Drosophila melanogaster: one gene and its partner. The protein of the gene in region 1 interacts with the protein of each later gene in a pairwise test. Each region holds a gene or a part of one and is shown on either strand. Other genes may lie near its edges.

Evidence for each region. The genes of interacting proteins can lie anywhere in the genome.
Region 2: the proteins of DnaJ-1 (region 1) and CG7945 interact in a two-hybrid assay, tested with the Drosophila melanogaster proteins (2 studies listed by BioGRID).

Annotation. Positions count from the first base shown.
Region 1 is NT_037436.4:5,750,477-5,754,231, reverse strand, and holds the start of DnaJ-1 (DnaJ-like-1), read left to right. Parts: upstream 1-2,042; 5' UTR 2,043-2,638; coding exon 2,639-3,643; 3' UTR 3,644-3,755.
Region 2 is NT_037436.4:15,522,296-15,526,050, forward strand, and holds the start of CG7945 (uncharacterized protein), read right to left. Parts: upstream 1,843-3,755; 5' UTR 1,538-1,842; exon of another isoform or gene 1,423-1,537; coding exon of another isoform or gene 1,217-1,422; intron 1,170-1,216; 5' UTR 921-1,169; coding exon 673-920; intron 286-672; coding exon 265-285; intron 208-264; coding exon 65-207; intron 1-64. Other genes in the region: CG33986 (uncharacterized protein), read right to left, coding at 2,037-2,854, 2,913-2,928; CG33985 (uncharacterized protein), read right to left, coding at 3,617-3,755.

The DNA of each region.
Region 1 (3,755 bases):
CGAACTAGAAGACCGCACCGTCAACGCACGGCATAGTTCACGCGTGTACTGGCCGCTTAGGATGCCGATGCCGATTCCGATTGCGATCCGAAGATACACCACCCGATCTGGCGCCCGATCTTTGGCGAAGCGAGCTACGTGTTAAGTTCTCGGCGTGATGTACTATAACAATGAGAAACAGTTTACTTATCTGGCTTACACTTCAATAGGAAAACAATACTTTTATATAGCTTCTATAACTTCGGGGTGCGATAAGAACATGAATACAGATACACGGATTGCAACAGTACCCAAGCCACTTGTTTTAAACAAATAACAGGATAATGGGGAGTAATGTAAGCTATTGACTGGGTTACAATCAGGGGTCTGATAACAATCAAACATTGTCCAGTTGCCTTTTGCGAATATCAATGACCACTCACGAGTTGCAACTGATAACGATTATCGCCGCACAATGCAGTGGGTGGGTATTTCACTGGGGGGAACTTTTGGGTCCCTAGAACCCAGACGGATTACTCAATGAATATAGGCGATATGTTTGGGTTTACAGCGAAAGTGCTATTAATGTCGACCGTATGCTCTCTTCGATGTGCCAGCTCTCTATTTGCGGGAATGAATGACTATTTTTATGGGTCTGCCGTCGCTGCTACAATGCTGCATTGCTGCAGTGGGACATCCTTTGAACAGGCGCCATGCCAAAGGATATTCTTTGTGGAAGGGGGGGGGGGGGCAAGGGTTAAGGGTCACATTCGTTTGCGCAATACTTCCAGCGATGGGGCGGTGAACGGTGGGCGGGGCGATCGGTCAAGGCTTCGACTGTGGAACGTGACACGCATATGTCGGCCGGAGTTTGGCCCAAAAAGTGGCCCCAATGGTTGTCCTTCGCGCTGGCAATTAGTCCCTAGCAAGGCGCGTCCATATTTTGCAAAAATTCGTGGGGCGCCTTGTTTTCTTCTCTCTGTATGTGTGCATGTGTGTGTACCTCCGTCTCACTCACCTCAAGTGTGTGTGTGTGTATGAAAATACTGCGGTATACGGCTGCGTTTGTGTGTGAGTGTGGGTTTCGGCTCTACTCTCCCGATGATCCTGCTCCTCCGGTCCTAATCCCGGCCTGCTCGGCTGCTCCTGCGTCCTGACTGCGCTAGAAATTCGCTTAAAACGAGCCTCGACGGGTCATTTTTACAATTGTTTTTTGTTGTTCCGTTCGGCTGTTTTACCAGACGTGCTCGTTCCGGTGTGACTGCCCGCCGCTGACTGTAAAATACTAAACGCATTGCAGCTGTGGCAATGCCCAAGTCTTGGTCTTACGGTCACACTGGCAAAGTTTAAAAATTTATTTATTTCAACTTTCAGTTACTTTTCGTTGGCTTGAATATTACACTAAGAATTCAATTTGACACTTGCAATTTATACATTGTATATTATAATATATTATATGTATTATATTTTATATCATATAAAGATATTTATATCTATTGATCTTTTGATTATAAGCTCTTTGGTTGAACAATATAAGTGCAACTTTCTCCATCACCTTCCTATCTTTTTACAATATGCTTACCTCGTCAATACGTTTTTTCTATTTCAAATATTTCAATATTTCAAAGAAATATTTTGTTTATTTTTCTGTGTGTTTTTAAGCAATCTGACCCCTGTAGAAGAATCCCTTATAATATTAACAAATGTATCCTCAAAATAGATCGATCTCTATCTTCGCAGACTTACACGAAACATTCCAGAACCGATAGTTTTATGCGATATATGAGATTTAAGGAGTACTTTCCGCATTTCGCCATCACAGTCACGCTTTCCTTGGCATTTGCAATCAAATAAGCGCTAATAATAATCGTAAAAGCATAAGAAGCATATAAAGAAGAGTCACCGCCAAAAGCATGCACAAATATATATAAATGGGGAGCGATTTAAAAACAGTGCACTGTGTTTAAAACATCGACAGCTATCGGTTAGCATATCGATATTGACATTCGCAGTCAAACGTTTTCGAGATACAACCCTAAAATCCGAGAAGCATCCAGAAATTTCGACGTAGACGAGGGCGAACCTATAAAATGAGGTTGACGCACGAATCCCGCTCATTATTAAACAAAATTTTGAAGAGAAAGAAACTCTGAAGTAGGGTGTGTTTTTAGTGCGCAAGCCACATTTGGTGGATAAAGAAAAAAGCGAAGAAGAACAATTGAATTGAATCAATTGCGAGAAAGAGACAAAACTCATAAATATTTAAAGAACATTGCCCCGTGAAAATATAAATAGTGTGAATACACAGTGAACAATACCAACAATTGCACTTTGCCATTGCATTTTGCACTTTTCCACTTGGATTTTTGAACTTTTACGGATTCCCAGACAATCGCTTACATTTAAGGTAAGCTTCGTTGGACATATTGCCACATGTGGGCGCATCGATTTGATCTGCTGAAAGAAGCACATCGGGAGCGGAGCTCTCGTTGATGGTGACTACATACGTCACTCGCGTGACAACACGGCAGTTGCACAACTGTGCTGTTCTGTGCTTCTAGCACTTTCCATCGCCCCAACCCAGCAAGCTGGCAATCAGTATTCATTCTAATCTATAGCGTTCGTTCGTTTGTGTTTCCCCTATATTTTCAGCTGAGAGATGGGCAAAGACTTCTACAAGATTCTGGGCCTCGAGCGCAAGGCCAGCGACGATGAGATCAAGAAGGCCTACCGCAAACTGGCACTCAAATACCATCCCGACAAGAACAAGAGCCCACAGGCGGAGGAGCGCTTCAAGGAGATCGCCGAGGCGTACGAGGTGCTGTCGGACAAAAAGAAGCGCGACATCTTCGACAATTACGGTGAGGATGGATTGAAGGGCGGACAGCCGGGACCAGATGGCGGCGGTCAGCCGGGAGCGTACACTTACCAGTTCCACGGCGATCCGAGGGCCACATTTGCCCAGTTCTTTGGATCGTCGGATCCGTTTGGCGCGTTCTTTACCGGCGGCGATAACATGTTTAGTGGCGGTCAGGGCGGCAATACCAACGAGATCTTCTGGAACATTGGCGGCGACGATATGTTTGCCTTTAATGCCCAGGCACCCAGTCGCAAGCGCCAGCAGGATCCGCCCATCGAGCATGATCTGTTCGTGTCGCTGGAGGAAGTGGACAAGGGATGCATCAAGAAGATGAAAATCTCACGCATGGCCACCGGAAGCAATGGGCCGTACAAGGAGGAGAAGGTGCTGAGGATCACAGTGAAGCCGGGCTGGAAGGCCGGTACCAAGATTACCTTCCCCCAAGAGGGTGATTCGGCGCCAAACAAGACGCCAGCTGACATCGTCTTCATCATTCGCGACAAACCGCATTCGCTGTTCAAACGCGAGGGAATCGATCTAAAGTATACAGCCCAGATCAGTCTGAAGCAGGCCTTGTGCGGAGCACTGGTTAGTGTGCCCACGCTGCAGGGCAGCAGGATACAGGTGAATCCGAACCACGAGATCATCAAGCCCACCACAACGCGCCGGATCAACGGACTGGGTCTGCCGGTGCCCAAGGAGCCATCGAGGCGCGGCGATCTGATCGTCTCCTTCGACATTAAGTTTCCCGACACACTGGCACCCAGTCTGCAGAATCAGCTGTCCGAGCTGCTGCCCAACTAGGCTAGAGCTGTGCCAGCCACACACACACACACACACACGCATATAATTGTTATCACTTTAGTTAAGGCCTATATTTAATTTACCGTACGTACTCGTAAGACAACTTAGCCTA
Region 2 (3,755 bases), 9.8 Mb from region 1:
CACATTTTAGTAAAGCTATGAACAATGAGGGTTCAAATTAGTTTTAAGAATCACTGTCACTTACCTTCGCTCATGTTCTGCATCATTTCGTTGCTCTTGATCAGATCCATGGACATCAGAAGGTAGTCTTTCTTCTCCTGCAGGTTGAGTGCATCCTTGCGCAGCTTCTCCACACGTGCATCCAAACTATCCAGTATGGTGACAAATCTGCGAGTCACTCAAAGGTTAGTCACGCTCAGTGGTTATTATAAATTCAAGATTTACCTCTCGCTGGCGTTAAATGGTCTGTCACATGTCGGTTAAGTGTGATTGCGGTTCAGTGGTTAAGTCATGAAACGAGACAAGCAACGTTAGATTGTTAGATCGCTCTGCTACAGATCGACTGACCACTTATAGAGCTACGAAATTATAACCAGAATATGTCTACAAGAAAAGGCGCTCGCACACAAAGCTCTTTTGAGAGTTGTGTGGGCGTTCGCGGCAGATACTTTAAGCTATCACCATTACTATTATGGAACAAAAGATTCGAATGAAGCTGGTAGCTGGTAGTGTGAAGAAATAATAGATAAGAAACGTATAACTTTTGTTTCGCTACGAGGTTGTGTGAATATAATCGGTGGTATTGTTTTGGTTTCGTGTCTGATTTGGTTTTAGTTATGATGGAATAACAACCTGTCCAGAGCTCTACTATCGTCGACGAGTCCGTAGGAGCTGTTCCCGCCATTGCCACCACCTCCGGATCCGGATGGGGATGAGGAGGCCATGGCATCGGCCCTCAGGTCTTGCAAATGATCAAAATTCATGGATGCCTCCGAGTGGTAATCGCTGGGCGAGATCTGATGCAGCTGCTGGTGATAAGTACTATGGTGATGATGATGAGTGTCACTGGTTTCCTGCGTTGTTGGCGCATCAACTTCCATATCCTGCGGCTGCTCCAGATTTGATTTAAACCTGTCGCCCTCCAAAAAGCCGGTCAAGTGTTTGTCACCCAAGATGGTTGGATAGCTGCCTACTGTTTCGTTTTGGGTTTTGGTTTTATCTTATTTATTTTTTTTTAGCCGCTTTGCTGGCTACTTTTTTTGGAATGTCTTAAGCTTTTTTTTTCGAGTGGGTGTCGAAGTGTTTGATGCTGTTGCTTAAGCTTAATTTTATCTGTTTTTGCTTTGAAGCTGCAATAAGAGAGAAGAGGAAGCGTGAATGCGCAGAATTCAATTACCTATCTGAATGTGGGCTGTGAAAAGAGCCTTCGGTCCAGGAGGCGTCAAAGCCATCATTGGACTCGGGCGTATCGGCTTCTATATCTTCCGGATATCGGTTTATTATCTCCGCCTCCTGGGCGGGTTGCGGCGGCGGTGGCGGCGGTGTTGTGTCCGACTCGCAGCGACGCCGTTTCCGAAAAATACCTCGAAAATTCTCAAACATTCTCGGCTGAAATCACCAATTTTCTAGAAGATTACGCCTAATTCTTCTTCTTTTCTTGTGGCAACCGATGTCTAGGAGAATCCCCGGGTGGCTGTTTTGAACTTGAATAAATTACCTGCCGCCCGAGACTTGAGGCTCCGGTTTTAATGCACCTTTGGCCCGATGCAAAAATATTGTTGATTTTTCGAGTTGGGCAGTTTGAGTTAGATGACGGGAAATGCTTGTGTTTCCAGATAATTCGTAGACACCGATTAATCTAACTTTGTTAGCTTCATTTTTGAGCACCTGGGTTGTTTACTTCGAGGGTCAATCGAATATTTCGCTTTACTTAAATGAAGATAAGTATAAATATGATTAATTTAACATTATATTGTGGGATTTGTATGACCGTGTCTGACTACCGCAAAAAAGAACAGTGGCCATATAGTCAACTTTATCGAAACCGATTCATCGAACATTGTTGTCGAAAGTTAGTGTGTACACACATTAGTTCTGGTTTTCATCTGTAATCGGCGGGAGTTTTAAAAGTAGTAGTACTTTTAAAAGAAACCTCTCTAAAAGCATTTGGTATCTCCCAAAGTTCAAAAAATTGTATGCTACATATATTAAAACTTCTATTTTATTAGTGGTGCCAAATTTAAATCTCGCACACACTGAGCCGTGCGCGACCATTGACAACTTTTGGTGGCAATATCGAAGAAGTAATAGAAAGGACATTGCTGCAGGCTGGCGTGTCCTTTGACGCAGTAGATAAAGAACTCGCATCGCTGCATATGGGGATACAGATGCTGTCCGTAGGCGGGGCAGTGAATGAGATCACTCGAAATGGCGGTGCCACCGGATGGGAAACCGGAATTTCCATTCGTTGGCATATCCTCCTGACCACCTACGGTGCACTGGGCTCTCTCCGGAATATCGCATTTACCCGTCATTGCATTCCAGTGCAATTGCGAGCTGCACTCCTGCAAGATCGCCTGTCCATAGTAGCAAATATAGTACTTTCTGCAACTACTCGAGCTGCCGACATATACAATCCTGTCGCTGGATTGTTGTTGCTCCACCAACGTGGAGCAATAAGTGGCGGCATCCGTGACCATGTTATTCGGATCTCCATCACCATTTCCGCCATCGAATGGAGGAGTCTCTATGGGATCCGTTTCATTTCTGCACTTTACATTTGTCGCCGAATCGCAGAGTCTGCTCTCCGAATTGAAGAGCATCGTTGGTGGGCAGGAAGCCAGGACTGCATCCCCGTTCTCAACGCACAGGTAAAACATGTGGCAGTCCTCCGCATGCTCCACAAACTCACCAACCAAATGATTGGCACATATTCTACTACCACTCTGCCTGATGGTCACCGAGTTTGTGGGCTTCGATGGTCTCCAGGTTAATTGCGCTGTGGCCAGCAAGCAGTTCACGATCAAATAGAAAGCTGGAAACCAATAAATTCTCATCATACTATTAGTTTTGAGAATATCCATCTTACTAACCCGTATTAAGCATCATCGTTTTTTCTATCGTCAGACTCCAGTAGAGCGCAGTTATATTCTAATTTCGTAATGCCCGGTGAACTTGGCATATATGTGATACATTCGGCGCCAAGATACAGCCGCATATGTGGCTCAGTATCAGAAAATTAACATTTTCAATTGCTTGTAGGAAGAAGTTGATAAGACTCCTGTATTTTGTTTTGCCAAAAAAGAAATATGGCTCCCTTTCCTCGCAATCAATCGATATCGTATCTCGAAATGGCAAGCAGATACAACTTTAATGCTGGATTTTTAATTTTAAAGTCTGGTGAAAAGGAAGCCGAGATTAGCTAGGAAATTGATTAGGTGATATCACGATGACATATGTTGTCCTTGTGAGGAAAATCGTATCATATCGGTCAAATTACTATGTTTCAAATCGAAGGTTGGCCTATTTTGGCAAATGTTTCGATTCAAGGTCTTCATTTTGCAGAGATATGAAAGAATTGCTTGATATCACCTGATAAATTTAGGAAAGAGTCAAGGTCGGCCGTGTTGCTTGATAGTTTTACAAAGAAGTCTTATTGATTACCAGTATTTAGGTTTATTCCATATGTAAACATACAACACTTTATGTTCAATATTTTCAATTTTTCCACAAAGCTCGTTAATTAACTAAATGTAAAATTTCGTTTTTTTTTTTTAATAAATATTATTATGTGTATTTAATAAATTTTCATTTGCATTTGCAGCTTGTTGTAGCATTTGGCTTGACCTAGTGCTACACAGGATCGCTTCTCGTAGTCCCATCCGTAGAAGAAAGGACACTGCTGGACCATCAAATAGCCAGAGCGACACTGGTAA